Drosophila melanogaster: one gene and its partner. The protein of the gene in region 1 purifies or fractionates together with the protein of each later gene. This does not show direct contact. Each region holds a gene or a part of one and is shown on either strand. Other genes may lie near its edges.

Region 1 (8,347 bases):
GACGAATTCGACTTCTTTGCGGCCACCGTCTTTTTCTTTTTGGAAGAAGGATTCCAGGCACCATCCTCGCTCTCAGAAGTGGTGTCGTCACACAAATCGGCGCTGTCCACGTTATCGGACAACTCATTATCATCGTCATCTTCCGTTTCCGTTTCTGTATAGTCAGAATCGTCTTTCTTCTTTTTTGACTTTGTAGTCCGTCTCTTCTGATCTTCATCTTCGCTTTCGTCACTCTCTTCAACCACAAACTTTCTATCCTTGCGCCTTTCACGTGCCGCTCTCCTGGCTGCCTTTCTTTGCTTTTTTCCTCGACCGGGTCGCCTGTATGCCTCCAAGCTTGAGTCTGAGTCTCCGGATGCGGACTGTGAAGTATCTTCATCCGAGTAACTGGACGTTTTAAAGTCCTCATCGCTTCCATGATCTTCTTCGCTGCTAACGTCCAGGGTGGTCAGTTTTCGAGCCTTCTTTTTGGCAGGAGGTTGTTTAAACTTGTTACTACGTTTGAGAGGTACTTCGTCTTCTGACGACGACGGACTACTGCCGCTAGATTTTGACTTTTGTTTATCCTTCTCACCGTCTTCCTTATTCCCCACTTCATCCTCCGTAGGCAGATCATCACGTCGTGCCTTTTCCTTATCCGCCTCAATAATGGTGGATATGTCTTTGCCGCGGCCCAGATTTCCTGCTCCGGCAACCTCATCCATCTCCTTTTTTAAAGCAGAATTGATAAGGTCGTCATACTCGTTAAGCCGATAGCTCACGTTGATTTGCCGCCGCTTGCGCAACTTGTATATGGGTTCATCATCCGAGTCAGAAAAGCTAGTGCTATTGTCGCTACTTGAGTCAGATCCAGATCCGGATCTAGAGCCACTGCCTAAGGATTTGCGGTGGCTGGAGTCAGATTCGTTTCCACGACGGCGCCTGGTGCCTCGCTTGGCAGCTCTCCTATTAATGCGTCCATCTCCGCGACGCCGCTTTACCTTTTCAGCCTTGCCGACTGCCATATCATCCCTATCGTCTTCGTCCTCTTCCTTTTCGCTCTTGAAGTTTTCGTCCTTCGCCGCCAGCGTGGCCGCCTCTAGCTCCTGACGCTCTCGCTCGGCTTGCTCTTCAGCCAAGATCCGCTCCTGTTGCTTTTGAGCTACCAATGTGTCGTATTGCTCCAGCTGTCTCTCCAGGGCAGCTATGAGCTGCTCCTGCTGACAAGGAGGGCAGTGCCAATCGCCCTCAGGAATGTAGAAGAGCACTGGTGAAAGGCAGGAGCAGTGGTATCCTTTGTTACAGGTAGGCGTGTCGCAGAGCAAAATCCACTCCGGATGGTCAGACTTGCCGCATTTCTGACAAGCTTCCTCCGCATCCTCCTGTAAAATAAATCAGCATGAATGTTACTGCATAGTGATTTTAGTGACCACTTAAGATATAAAACACATTCTGGATTATAACGGGTACAATAACAATGCAAGGAATAACTCAAGAAATAGTTTCTTCTATTTTGAATAGACATTCAGAACGGGAAAGCTAACAAAATCAATTTTGTATGCTTTCTAATTAACATTTTTAATATTTACCTCCTCTAGGTCATCGGCGTTCTCCTTCCGTACGGTGCGCGCCCTTTTCATTGGCACCACTTGAGACTCATCTTCAAGCTCCGATTCTGGTGAAAATTCGTGATCGGACCGGAAGAGTGGCGAACCAGGATCCGTTTCATAGTGCGGTGGCTCCTCCTCCTCCTCCTCACTTTCTGGCTGTTCTTCTGAATCGGAAGACCAGCCATCCTTGCCAGGACACTTTTTTTTCTTCTTATTACGTGCCTCCTCCTCCGCCTCGCTGGCCTCGGATTCTGATTCTTCTCCTGATGGTTCTAGCACAGTAGGATCTGCTTCCTTCTCGGCTTTTTTCTTTTTCTTAAGCTCCTGTTTCATGGTACGTAGAGCAACCTCCTCTTGCTTTCGCCTTTCAGCTTCCTCTTTGATCTTCTGCTGGGCAATGCGCCTAGATTGGCGCACAGGTGTCTCCGAGTCGTTGGTCTCAATGATATTGGTAGTATCCACCTCACGCTTCTTTCTCGGCCCACGTCCACGACCCACCTTTGGCTTTGGCTCCTCGTTGGGCTCTTCCTTGATGGGTTTCTCCTCAGGTTTCTTTCTATTTTCTGGGCTTTCTGGGGCTGGATCGTCTTTAGCTTCAGATTTTATTTTGGTTGAAATTTTCTCATCATCTTCGGATTCCTGCTTCAGCTCAGCATTGACCTCTGGCTGCATTTTATCCCTGGCCCCACCTCGAGTCCTTTTTGGCTGAGGAAGCTCAGAGTGAATGACAGCAGGTCCACCTCTGCGACCAGAACGACGGGCAGATCCCTCCGGTACAGGCGATTGGTCTTTAGCTGAACGTAATGAATCCTTGACAGACATTGCAAGTGGGTCCTCGACTTCCTCCTGTATGTCCTGCTCGTTATTGCGCTTCAACTTCTCGCTTACGGCTGACGGAGGCACTTCAGTAGGGGAGGATTCCTTCGAAAACGCCTCATTTGCATCCTCACTGCTACGACGCTTGCGATGACGCTCGTCCGGTTGACAAAGTACATTAGATGCTGGAATTGCAGGCACGAGGGTCTCACTGTTTGTTCGTTTTCTTGGTATGGTCTCTTCTTCACTCTCCTCCTGTCGTAGTTGTGTCAGGAGATTTTTCTTTAGGGGCTTGGTTATCGGTGTTTTTTTTTGCGGACTTAAGGAGATGATGGGCGGTGTAGCTTCTCTAGTTTTCTGCATCAGTTGCGTTGGCATCTCCATTACTTTTTCAGTTGTCTTTTCCGGCAAATCCATCTCTATACTTTTCTTTAACTTTCTTTCAATAATTTCCTCCAGAGTGGGCTTGGTTTTAGTGTGAGGAGCTATACACTTGCGGCGAATACGCGCATCGTCTTCTCCGCTGGACGAAGTAGTTTCTTCTATCTGCGTTTTTTGAGCCTCCACCTTTCGCCTGGACTCCGCGTTAGTGGTCTTCGGTCTCATTTTAATGCGCTTGCCGCCCACATCTAGATCGTCCAGGGTAGGATCGTCATCTTGCGGTTCCTCTTCGTGCACTTCGCTTTCGGAGGTGGAGTTTCGTAGAGCGGACTGAGAGTCATTAAGACGCCGCTTGCGATTTAATAACGTAGATGTCTTAGATATTTCTTCAACAGCACCACTCGTCCTTGACTTACCGTCAACCTCTCCGGATTTTCCATTGTCTTCGAAAAGTAAGTTTTGGGATGTACTTGGTTCTATGGTTTGAACTTTTTCCGAAATCCTATGTTCTGCAGATGGCGAAATATTGATTTCAAGACATGTTGTATTCGTTTCGCTTTTTGAAATATCTTTAGGTGGATCATCTTGAAGCAAGGTTTTAATAACCCCTTCTGCCTTATCAATTTTATTTATAATAATACCTTTATCATTGGTTTTTCCTGCATAAGGGTCAATCAAACATTTCGATTTTGCTGTTTCATCTTCCCCATCCGTTGGAGAAGATTCAGATACTGATTCCTTAGCGCTCGTTGCCGTTTCCTGTTCTGATTTCATTTTGGAATCATGTTGGTTAGGTACAGGGCTTTCTGTTTCACACGAAAGTTTCTCATCACATGCAGTGTCCAAGGCATTTGTCGAAATTTGCTGATGATTTATTACCAGTTTATCCTCAACTGTACCGCTTTCCAGGACGCATTTTTCTGTTACTGGTTTCTTTGTATTGTTCAGATCAGCTGGAACTTTATGCTGATCCTGAGTCTGAATAGAGGAGTTATCACTTTCATTTGAATTATTTTGTAAGACTGAAACTTCTGTCCTATTCCTCACTCCTTCTTCAATTGCCTCACTTTCGGTACGACCTTTAGAGATTTCCTCATTCTTTTCGATCACGCTTATTGTACTATCCTGTATATTCCTTTTAGCCACTGGTACGGATTCCTTTTTTTTTATTTGATCATCTGAGATTTTATTTACGTTAGCTTCTTGGCATATGTTAGTCTCTTCTAATGTAGCTGCACTCGCAGATGCTGTTTCTTCACTATCTCCCAGAGTTTTTGTGAGTTCGCTTCCATTTCGGGGCGGTGTGTTCACTATACACTTTTCGCTTTCACCATTTGTTTTCTCCTCGCTCAAGCTGTCAAAAATGCCCCGTTTTGCCTCTGGTTTTGATGTTTGCTTCATGGGACTTAGCTTGAGACATCCGGGCTCGCCAAAAAAGAACGTCGCTTTTGGTTCCGATGTGCGCGTTGACGTTTCCTCCACGGAAGCTTCGTTTTTACCATTCCCCACGAGACAGTCGGTCCCCCACCCTTGACCAATCACATGGAGCATTGGATCTGCAATGGCTTCCCCGATCTCCAAGTCATCCTCATAATCAAAGTTGCCAATTAAATTATAAGGGATGGCTTCACAGTCAAGTCCTGATCCTTGGCCCTGCACCACTATCGTTGGATCCTCTATAGGCTCTCCAGTATCTTCCTCATCGTCATCTTCCTCGATATCCGCCGCCGCACTATCGACATCTTCCTCTTCCTCACCCTCATCCAATTCAGAATCCTCCTCGTCCTCTTCTTCCTCATCCTCTTCTCCGGACTCTTCTTCGATTTCATCCTTAGTGCTTTCGTAGCGACTTGGCTTTTTGATTCGCTTTGTATCAAGCAGTGTGGGACGGTGCTTCTTCTGCTGTTCCTCCTGGGAGGCTGTGGGGCTGCTGTCTACGTCTTCGATAGAACGTTTTTTGGTTGGGGCCGGCGATGCGCTACTCGAAAGTTTGGCCTGGCTAATGAGCAGTGGCTGAAAGACCGAGAATGAAATCTTATCTAAAAATGCAAAGCTCCTTGGTTAAATCCATACACACCTTAACCTTTTTAGACTTTTGATCCTCTTGCTCGGGAGAGCGGAGTTTAATCTTTAGATTGGGTACAGTTTTTTCGGGCTCATCTCCAACTTCCTCATCGTCCTCTTCTTCTTTCTGTTCGGGGGGCGGTGGTTTGGGATGACAACTGTTGCTGCTGCTGGTGTCCTCATCGGCCTCACCAATGTCCTTCGAAGGAAGTACCACCTCATTTCCGCGCAGCCTTGAAATGAGATTTACAAACTCGTCCCTGTTCGTGGCAACCACCTGCCAAATTTCCTCGTCTAGATGCTCCTGGTAGATCCGCAGATTACAGTGGGCATCCTGAGTCAGCCAGTAGGCATGTCCCAACCGGTCCCTTCCAATTGGCTCAGAGCGTAAAGTATCGGCATTCAAGGTGAGGATGTGGGCCCGAAACTTGGCATTGCGTTCAAACTGACTTTCGAGAAGTTCCTGTACGGGAAAGACGCCCTTTAGAACGGTTTATCAAGTGGTACGAAATTCGTTACTCACCCGAAATATTCGCAGCTTAACCTTCAAGCTGGAATTCCTATAACCGAAACGTTCGATTTCCCAGGCATCTTGCACCGAGTAGCCGAAGCAGAATTTGCTGAGGGCGGACTCCCAACTCTTTTCGTGAACCGTCTTACGGGTCTTACGGAGCAGCTTTATGTGCAAGTCCCTTAGCTCAGGAACTACAAAGATTCGTTATAATTAAATATTAGTAAAAGTTCTGCGAAAAGGAAGAAAGTGACAGCGGAATATAAATGGATTGTGGGTGGATTATGAGGGCAAGTGAAATAAATGCAACCGCGTTTGTTGTAGTGTACACTTTTTGTGTCTGCTGTTGCTCACGCAAATACATACAAAACGTAGAAACTTAGCATGATTATAACTTTTTTAAACAAATATATTTTCAGGTTCCCTCCCACTCGTGACCCTAAATATTTAATATATTTCCAGATGCAGGTGTACATTAAAAAAAAAAAACCAACTTTTAGTGTTCAATTGTAGCTCTCTTACTATCTCTCAAATAAGAAGACCAGAGCAAATGTGGGAAATATTTACGTCTCTCCCAGATTTGTTTTGTATATTGCGCTTGTGTTGAGATGAAAACAAATCGCAGTGCTCTCTCTGCCATTGAGCAATCTCTTTCTCTCTGACGAGCCAAGCACGCTCTCCAGAGCGGAGCATTGTTAAATCTCTGGAGCAGACCTATTCGAAAACACTACATCCGTAGTTTCCACCGCCACTTGCCCCACGATAATTGAACCTGACATAAATTAATTTGGCAAAAAACTGCTTCCACCCCGCTCTCTTGATACCACCACCCCACCCTCTCACCATCGTTGTTGTTTGTCAACCACTCCTGCAGATGCTTGAAGTTGGGCAGGTTAAGACCCAGGTCCTTGCCGAATTTTTGCAGGAAGGCGCAAATGACCGCAAAGTCCGGATCATTGGCGCATGTGTGCAGCGTGGAGGTGAGGGCGTCGTCGTCCTTGCACTCCTCCGATATGGAGTCCGTCGGAAGCGGGATCGGATTGGTGGGCGCCGCAGCCGCAGCTGAGGACGCCGCCATTTTTCATGCGTCCCCGAGAACCAGCGAAAATTTTCGGGTGTTGTATACTACTCTGGCAAAACCTCAAAACGGGCACTGCAAACACGAGTCATTTGTCCAAGGATCAAGTTCTCTGGTCGCACGGCACTGCGAGACTTCGAGGGTGCATATTTCTTGCCGCGAGACAGCTCTTGTACGGGATAAAATCCTATTTTAAAGCAAGCGAAAATGCTTTATTTTCTGTTGTGAGTTTCAGTGTGGCCGCGCAGTCACTTTTCGACAATACTGCAGATTGCACCCATGTAATTGAAGCGAGTTGGCAGTCGATGCACTGGGGAACTAGTTTCTAGTATACTTGGCGTATGCATGAAAACGATTTTTACAAACTACGAATACATTTATAACTTACTCAGATTCGCGTTAAGACAGTTTTATTTTTAAGTTAGCGCTAGACTATGAAATGTGTATTAAATGTTACAAATCTAAAAATTGTTTTACTATTAAATAGGCTATGCAAAATTTATTAAATCGACGAACAATATAGGTTATAATATAAATTAGGAACAAAAGGTATAAAGTTTTAGTGTAGATCAAGTTGAAGTAGGGAAATACATTATGGGAAATACAATTTTGCTAAGACAGAAGAACCTTATAAGAAGCTTAACACGTCCACTGTTTTGTTCCGATTTGATAGAAAATTTGACACAACACTTAGATAATTGTAGATACTTATTGGAAAAAACTATTTTAATGTTTATATAAAAAGAAATGAAACTGACATATACACACTAAATGCACTGTAATTGTGTGAAATATGAGGTAATTTTATGATTTTTCCAATGCAAATATATGCGGATACATGTATATATATTGTCCATTTCAATTTTTAATAACAATTTTACATTTTCCGTTACACAAATGATTTAACGGTATATATGGCATTTGGTGAACACGGCTGGTTCAGTTCCCGAACCCAGTTCCAATGATGATGATTTATGTGTGTGTGTGTTGTGTGTAGGGGGAATTTGTTGATAGATAGAACGAGAAAAACAGTCGCAGCAAAACAACAAAGACGACGCAAAACAGTCGAATTTAGTTTTCAATATCAAGTGAAATCATTTCGCTTTGCTCATCTGCCATCGTCGATCAATATCTTGTGTACTCAAACGACGGGACTCTGCAACTGAATATCGCTGAAAAAAAGCATCTAAAGACCAGTGAAAGTGTAACTATATAAAAAAAATACAATCACCAAAGCACAAATCTTCAGCAGCAATGACCACATATCAAATGAACTTCAACCAGGACTTTACGTAAGTAGCGACATCTGTGCTTAAATCCTTAAATCCCGGAAGGTCACCAAAGCGAAAAGTGGCAAACAATTGAGACACAAAAATCGACAAATGAGACGGGTAAATAAGGCGAAAACAGCTGCTGTGGGGAAGGTGGACGGGGATCGTTAGTGTGTCTGTGGGTAAGCGTGAATTGGCGTCATTTTTCGTGTCGTGTGTGTGTGTAGTTTATTAGAACATGCAAACAAGCAGTTCCAATTACAATAGCATGCATTCATCTAACATTTTGGAATGCCTTTCCCGTTTCGGGAGGGGGCTGGGAACCGAACTCGGTACACTGTCAGTGGCCAACAAGCGACCGATTTAGCAGTATTTCCATTCTGATGGCCACTGTGCGGGACACCAACACTCGCACAATTGGCGCACAATCAATTGTTTATGCGCAACAGCTGATGACTAAGGAACAAATGAAAGTGCGGAGCGATAAGGATGAAATAAAATGACAAGAAACAAAGGGGGTCAATCTGGCGGGAGCGCACTGTAGCTATCAACGCAGCCTTAATCTCGAGCTTAATTAACCAGTTTCGCTATTGCACGGTACGTTGATGTCATCCAAGAACAGGGTGAGGGAAGAAGT
Region 2 (8,526 bases), on another chromosome or scaffold:
TTGTTTATTCCAAAGTCGGAGGAAAACTCCATAATGCATAAACGTTACTTTGTTGTTAATACTCTGTATCCTAGATCTTAGCCATTAAGCTGTACTCTCGGTTCTCGCTTGGACCCCAAAACTAACTAAAATCCCACGCATCATATCACGTACCGAAGCAACAATGAGACCGAACTTTGGTGACCTATCGATCTTAGAGTAGAACCTGCCACCAGCACCTAACTGTATAAAGTACCAATCACCCTGGTCCCTTTGGTTTATGTTAACAAGTGATAATTAGATTGTAAGTAGAAGACCCAGTTCCCAATTCCGATCCCGAGCCCTAGATCCGTAAAGAACCCGTATCCCTCATTATGAAATTGAAATTGAATCAATTCTCATTCATGCTAGTGATAGTTTTAAAACGAATCGAATCGGAATTATAGCTTATATAGTTTATTATTTAAATTTTTGGAATTTGACTTAATATTATGAATGAATAGTTATGATTATCATCTCGACTAGAGTATTCGACTTAAAGTTTTGTATTCTAAGCGTAAACCTTTTCATTTGTATAATTGAAGATTGGCTAATAAACAACCATTTTTACCATACGTACATTTCTAGCAAAATTTACTCTCAACCGTTGCTGTTACTTTTTAGCTTAAATTTGCTTTATCTACTTGCTACTCACTTAACCAACTTTTCAACAATCGTGCACTTTTGCCCACGCATTTGTACAAAACTTAACCTAGACTTGGCTTTAGTTTAAAAATGCTTACAAAAACTAACTAAAGAAATCAATAGAAAATCCGTATCCGTCCAACAGGGAAGCATGAGAACTAATTTCGTTGCTTGGGCACAGGTAAGTCACAAGCCAAGAAAAAAAATATACAAAAATTACAAAAGTCAAGTACAGTTGCGCACCGTTTTCTTAGTTCGATCTTGCCTCGCTCGTAGATGGATGGGATACCGGATTTTAGCCGGCCTATCTTGGTGGTTCACAAACACACTTTCACTCCTTCCCCGATCCAGCACCCTCCTGCCTCCCTCCCGCTCCAGAAAAAATCCCAAAACACTTAGCGAAATTCCCTATGCAATGTTAACACCAAACGTTTTTCGTTTTATTTGTATTATTTCTTGATTTCCTGGTATGTTGGTTTGTTCGATTACAAATAAACATATATATTTTAATCACAAATATCTTAACGATTTTGGTTTGTGAATGTTGACAATATTCTTATAACCAGTATTTGATTGATTGATTGACGGTTAATGCGTTCGAAAGTTTAAACAAAAACATAAATCGAAAAAGGCAATGAACTTAAAAGAAACACACACGAATTTTGTAGTGCAAAAATAACATATTTTAATTTAGTACTTTTTGTAGTTCCAACATCTATCTATCTCAGCGCCAACATACTCTCTATTTCTCTTTCTCTGTATCTCCTCTATCTCTCTGTATATCTTTCTATCTGTTCAATTATATTTTACTCTTATAACAACTAACTTTGATCTTAAGAATCTTTTTACTAACTTTCTTCCAAAACAGAAACCACATAGAACTCTTTCACTAGAGCCACACCTGTAGCATATACTAAACAAATCTATAAGAGTACACACAATCACAGATACACTCACTGAATGTTAGCGAAAAATATACAGAAAAGACGATACAGTTACAAAATTAGCTATGCACTTAGAGAAACACACAACAAACGACTCATGAATATACTATAAACCAATGGTGAATTTTTACTACTTGTAGGCGCGTTTTTGAAGAATAATATTAAATCCGTTTGAACAGCCCGATAATGCTGGGCCTTAGCTTCACATCCATAGATTCCTCACAATACAAAAAGCACTAAATTAATATCAAAGATCTTACCAATATAGCGGAATGCTAACATAATGGATTATTGGTATTGGTTGATGAATATTGCAAGGAAATGAGAAAAACCAAAGAGACACAAAAAGCCCACAGAACCAACTCTCTAGAAGAATCAGCAGTCGATTTTATGTTTTAATTTGAGTTATGGTTTAGTTTTCGGTTTCGATTATCCATCATGAAAATAGCAGATAATTCAGATTTTAAATTGACTTTACACCTCAGCTCACCACGCACACATCTAAATAGTGCTTCCCGCCACTCACCTCAATTCGCCATTTCACCCACTCACCCCAACTCACCACACCAAGTGGCGCACGCGCCACAAATTCCACCAGTGGCGTACGCAGGATTCTCTCAAAGGGGCTTGAAAATATTTTCTTATTTTCATTTAATTCTGTAATATGCTGAAGAAGAAGAGCCCTCTCCCTGCGCACGCCACTCTCTTCAACCACCAACACGGTTGCGCAGCCGCGACAGAGAGATATGCCTTCGCTCTCTCGCAGCTGCGCCACGCCCACCACCCACAGCCACCCACGAAAATGGTGCTTTTTCACATACGACACCACTGTCTGACTATATTTTTCATCATGTACGCCATCGCAATCCATGCCACAGTGGTCGCAATGCCGCGACAGCCGCTCCACAAGTGCCACCAAATACTATTTTATTTGTGTATTTATTTTCACCGAAAATGAATTCCTGCACTTTGTGGGCGGCAGGCGCGCGTGCATTGCCGAGCATCTGAAACGTCGAGGGTAGAGATGAAAATATCGGGCGCCGCCTGTCACCGGCGAGTATTACCCAATATAAATCGCTAATGGCCACAGGCGGTCGCCGCCCCAACTGTAATTGTGAACGTCCGTGCGGCCATTGCCCAAAAATGATTACATAATACGATCGAACGAACCGAATGAGAAGCCAAAGAACTAAGGATACGAAAGCAGCTGAAATAACGTTGGAGGATCGGCGCGGGATTTTGGCAAATCGAGCTTCTTCTGCTTGGGGCTTTTCAAGCATAAGGCTTTGAGGCTTTCTTTTTACTAAGCAGGTGCTTCCAACTCGCTTTGCTGGACAAATGCCCGACATAAGTTACCATTCAAAATCGCTTGGCCAAATCAGCATTACCCCCACAAATTGTTAAGGACTAGCGAGTAAATTTTAATCGTATTCTCGAATATAAATTGAGCAAACTTTAAGTCAACGAGCACATTTGAAACTATCAAGACATTGTAACCAGCAAATAAACAAAGTTAAGCAAAACAGCGAGTACGAAAAGCCTTGTAAGAGATTATAATAAAACAAAAGCATTTAAAGGAAGTTACAAAGTGGAGTTATTATTATTTGTATGCTGTATGCACAAGTTTAATTTAAAGAATCCAAATAAAATTCTAAGCTATCCAGCACACAAAATAAAACAAAAATTGTTTTACTCATTTAATAACTATATCTATAATGTCGACTGTTCAGCAAACAAGTTGTAAATACAAATTTGAATTAACAATTTTTTATAAATTTCGAATGTTAAAGCCCATGCGTTAGCACATCTTTGCCGATGCCGCAATTGTGAGTGTTTCCGATAGCTCGCACGAAATGCACTAGCGCATGAGCACTCCGAATTATTTGCACACCACTAGCTGGGCACCTGGTGAATGGGGCTGCGTAAATTAACAACAAAATAAATAAATGCAGCTTGGCCCCGGCTATCCAAATGTATGCATGCGACCCCTCACAAAATTCCACAGATTTAGATGAAAACCGCACTCAAAACGGTTAACTATTTCGCCTGGAGGCCTAGCCAAAATAATTTCGCCACTGTGGCGACGATTTCGTTCGACTCCGACAACTCCGAATTTTCATTCGTAATGGCCGCCCATAAGTAAAAACGTGTCCCGCTGCTGAAGAACGATTATACGCGTTTGCGCTAAGCCAATTGCTTGAATTTAGCTGTAAACGGTGCGGCAGTGGTAAATACGCTGAAAACCACATCATTTAATCATATAAGAGGCCCCAACGCCCGGCAAAGAGTGTGAAAAAAGTGCGTGAAAAAATCTTAATCGATTTTTTTGTTTGTGAAAAAAAAATCATGCAGCGTTGGGCATAGTGCTCGAAGAGCTCGCCAGGGGGCGCTGACAAACTGTTCGGAGTGTCATCGGAATAAGAGGCCGGCTATTTAGCGCTGCCAACGGCGATTAATCGATAACCGTAGCGGTTTTGAAATATATATTTTGAAAGGAAAACGTCATGTTAGAGCAATTTAAAAATTCTAGCAGTAAATATTTAATTTTTGCCCATATATGACAGGGCCCTGCAGTGAAATTGCGGCAATTAAATCGACGACCGCTTATCGTTATCGCCGCCGACGGCACAAATAAATCGCGGCCCCGCTGTCCGCGGCGTCGTCGGTGTTCGGCTCTCTGGCCGCCATTATTGCTTTCCAGCGAAACCACGCTATACGCAAAATCGGGTTTATATGTGTAAATTTTTCGGGCGATTTATCAACCAGATTGCGTTCGCTGATGCATGAAAAGTGCGGTAAAGTGTGTAAAAAATTAGCGCTGGCCCAGAAAAACATACGCACTCGATGGCTGATTACTAATTAACTAGATAAAAGCAAAAAACAAAACCCACATGAGGCGGAGTTTGATTGCGTTTTTTTTTCTCACTTAACAGAGTTCTGTACAAACAAAATGTTAGCTAACAGGGCTCTGCAAAGTGAAATATCTCGCGGAAAAGGCAGTATTAAATTCGCCGCGTTTGTTTGAGATGTGTGTTTGCGCGCGTGTGTTTGTTTATGCCGCCTTTTTCTTCGTCTCGGCTTTCTATGATTTTGCATTTTATCGCATTTAAATAAAAAAAAAAAATCATGACTCATGCGGATCGTGTTTTTGTGCGTGTTAATATTAATTTAATGCAAAAGCAAAGAAATATACAAATGTATGTGGATTTGTGAGTTTTTTCCCGCGCGCGCCGCCCTCACATATCAATGTATGCGTGTGTGTGAGAGTTGTTTACTTACTAGTTTTTGTTGTTGTTATCAATTCTAGATTTTTTATCAGCCAACCGATAACACGACAGCCAAGGCGAAATAATAATAAATAATAACAAGAAGAGGAAGTCAACAAATAAGCAAAAGAAAGAAGAACACAATATTGATTTAACCTAAAACGATGATGAACTGAAATGTGCAAATTTGATGAACGTAATTATGCCAATTCACACAGAACCTTCGATTTCAACGTGAAAAATGTCGTCGACACATTTGCTGCATTCACTGTCACTGTTGTTGCTACCACTGCGTTGTCGTCGTAATTGCCACCAGATCGTTTCCTTGGCCATTGTCCTGCTGTCGGCGCTGTCAGCCAGAGCTCCCGAGGATCAAGGAGGACGACAGGAGAGGGAGGCGGAGGAGGAGGACGAGCGGCAGGCGGACCGCCGGGAGAGTGTCCAGGGGGAGGAGGAGGACACGCCCTACATAGTCGCCAATCCACACCCAATCCTCACTAGCAGTAGCACTACGTCTTCGGCCAGGGCAACGGGCACAGGGGCTGCGTTAACCAGCTGGCAGAGCAGCCACAGCCACCGCAGCCCCGGTGCTCACGATCGGGATCGGTGTCAGGAACAGGAACAGGATCAGAAGCAGCAGCACCTTTTCTACCCCAGCAAGCCCCATCTCCAGCTAACGTATACAGCCCCCTCGACATCGAGTAGAGGAGCCAACACAACGCCGACCACGAATCGGAGTAGATCCTCCAGAATCCAAATTAGCAGTTGCAGCACTAGTCCTGCCCACTGCAGTTGGACCGCCGGAGCAATCGTAGCCTCCTTAGCATCCATAGCCACCTAAGCAGTCGATTCCACTAGGCAAACTCTCAAATCAGCCACAGCAACAGCAAATAGAAACGTTCCACACACCACAACAACCCAACCCAAAACCACCCACAACCAAAACCCAAACAAAAGCCAGCAAGATGTCCAAGCTGTCGTTCAGAGCCCGCCATTTGGATCCGTCCAAGCAGATGCCCATCTACTTGGCGGAGGAGCTGCCCGACCTCCCCGAGTACTCAGCCATCAACCGGGCAGTGCCTCAAATGCCCAGTGGCATGGAGAAGGAGGAGGAGTCGGTAGGAAGTTTCTCAGTGATCCTTTATTTTGGATGAAACTAATTTTGTCCCTTATCCCTTGTAGGAGCACCACTTGCAGCGAGCGATATGCACGGGTCTGATCATCCCCACGCCCGAGGTGCTGCAGACGGATCAGCCCTTCTACGATGCCTACTATCCGCCGGACTACAAAATGCCCCGCCAAATGATCCACATGCAACGTAAGCAAAAAGCAACTACTAGAGCAGAATAATTCGTTTCGTTTCGGGCTTAGAACATTATTTTTAAATTCCATATCAATATTGAATGAAATGCAATAACTTATGTAGTTTCGTATTATTCTTGGACTAATTTTTTACAATTGTTTAACTCTCAGCTCTTGGGCTGGATACCGAGGTCCCTGACTACGACATGGACAGTGCCGATGAGGACTGGCTCAGTCAGCAGCAGCGCCTGGAGCTTACCGAACTCAAGTTCGAGCAGATGATGGACCGGCTAGAAAAGAGCTCCGGCCAAACGGTGGTCACGCTGAACGAGGCCAAGTCGCTGCTTAACCAGGACGACGAGACCAGCATATCCGTCTACGATTACTGGCTGAACAAACGCCTCAAGATGGTAATAAACACTTAGCTTGGCTATTGGCTACGGCAATATACTAAATCAACTATCTTATTCATTCTCTAGCAACACCCGCTGATCCTCACTGTGAAAACTGAGAGTCGACCAGGCGCCAGCTCCAACAATCCGTACTTGGCTTTTCGTCGTCGCACCGAGAAAATGCAAACCCGCAAAAATCGAAAGAACGATGAGGCCTCCTACGAAAAGATGCTCAAGCTGCGGTAAGAATCGAGTGAAGTTTGCCTAAAGTCGGTTGAGAAATTTTTAAATGCTGGCTAATCGGGCTACACTGCAATTACTGGACACAGAACTTGCAAACATTTTCTTTCTCTGTATCATATAAATTCAATTCCTGCCCGATTTAAATGCAGGTTTTTTATGCATGATATCCTTAATCAGGAATTTTCCCATATACAACATTTTGTTTATAAAAAGCCAGGTAGTTTTCGTTAGCCAGCATATTTTATTGCCCAGCTTTTCATACCTGACCCTAACTAATCCACTCTTTCCCTGTCCTCTAGACGTGACCTGCAGCGCGCCACCACTATACTGGAGATGGTGAGGCGACGCGAGGAGACGAAGCGCGATCATCTCAAGATGACGGTGAACATCTTCGAGAAGCGCGTTGAGATGCGCGACTTCAACGGTGCTGTCTACTCCGAGCTGAATTCTCAGTACAAGAACACAAGGTGCGTTTTCGGACACCTTTTACTTATGAAGAAAGGTACTGAAATACTCCTTGTTTATTTGCAGACCCGCGTATAATCCATTGTATACGAATCAATACTCACAAGGGGCGGCGGCGGTGGGAACGGCTGGTGCCATTCTAGCCGCCCTGCCCACGGGTCTGCTGCCGGGCGGTGCTGGAGCGGCAGGCAATGCAAATGTCTTCGGCTCAGCGTCCCAGTACCTGAACTCGTCGAATCTGACAATGGGTAAGGGTGGGATTACATCTAGTATTTAATTGCAGATGTCCTAATCACACTGCTTTAAATCGCTCAGGGAATATACAGTCAGAAATGAAATTGTCGTGGAATAATTAACAATGTCCGCTTGACTAACTTATTTGGCCATTTTGGTATTAATATGCCTTTTAAAAATAGATAATCATTGTTTTTTAATTTCATATACATCGTGTTAGTTTTTCTTAATATATCGTGTTATCTTCCTTTTCTTAATTTAAATATAAAATATTTTGTTTAGCTTGTTTGTCCACCTCTTTCCTAAATCTTAAAGCCATCTCTAGAAAAAATTATTTTTGTCACACACTGTTTAACCGAATTTTCAATTGCTCTTCTAGATGCCATCAGTGGCAGTGGGAATGGAAACAGCAGTCGCAAGGAGAAGCGTCCATACAAGAAGCGCAAGCACAAATTGCCCCGCGACAAGCAGCAGCACCAGCAGCAGCAAACGCAGCAGCACCAGCAACAACAGTATTTGCCGGCGTCTGGTGGCGCCGGAGTCTCGCCCGCGCACCACCTGCCCCACCATCTGCACCACCTCAGCAGGCAGCAGAGTGCCTCGCCGGCAGCCAACGACTCGATTGCGGACAGCGAGGAGGAGGACTACTTTGGCGCCGGTGCCCAGAATGGAAACAAACTGGGCTCCGAGAGCGAGGAGGAGACGCCGTTTGCATTTAGGCGCAGATCAAGCTGTGTTTACCTACCGGTAAGTGTTTTGAATCCGTGCTTGGATCTAAAGATTACGCAGACTTTAATTGCTTTCATTTGCACAACAGACTCGACAACGAGATGGCCGCTATCCGTGGGACTCAGCCGACGAGGATATGGCGCCCAGTGGTGCTTGTTCGGATGCTAAATACCGTTACACACTGACCTCCCTCAATTATCCCAGGTTTGTTGCCATTCTCTTTGGCCAATGTAAATGCCCATACTCACTCCAAATCGGGCTAATTTTACAGACCACGCTGCATTGGCT

The links. The genes of interacting proteins can lie anywhere in the genome.
Region 2: the proteins of CG8677 (region 1) and E(Pc) purify together in Drosophila melanogaster (affinity purification with western blotting, with the first as the bait; one study listed by BioGRID). This does not show direct contact.

The regions. Positions count from the first base shown.
Region 1 is NT_033779.5:21,219,644-21,227,990, reverse strand, and holds the start of CG8677 (uncharacterized protein), read right to left. Parts: upstream 6,680-8,347; 5' UTR 6,440-6,679; coding exon 6,205-6,439; intron 5,556-6,204; coding exon 5,374-5,555; intron 5,314-5,373; coding exon 4,864-5,313; intron 4,800-4,863; coding exon 1,569-4,799; intron 1,362-1,568; coding exon 1-1,361. Other genes in the region: Atg18b (Autophagy-related 18b), read left to right, coding at 7,694-7,731.
Region 2 is NT_033778.4:11,448,479-11,457,004, forward strand, and holds the start of E(Pc) (enhancer of polycomb), read left to right. Parts: upstream 1-3,710; 5' UTR 3,711-3,905; intron 3,906-4,290; exon of another isoform or gene 4,291-4,407; intron 4,408-4,914; 5' UTR 4,915-5,838; coding exon 5,839-5,991; intron 5,992-6,055; coding exon 6,056-6,191; intron 6,192-6,346; coding exon 6,347-6,585; intron 6,586-6,654; coding exon 6,655-6,809; intron 6,810-7,109; coding exon 7,110-7,277; coding exon of another isoform or gene 7,278-7,312; intron 7,313-7,341; coding exon 7,342-7,523; intron 7,524-7,888; coding exon 7,889-8,256; intron 8,257-8,326; coding exon 8,327-8,442; intron 8,443-8,509; coding exon 8,510-8,526.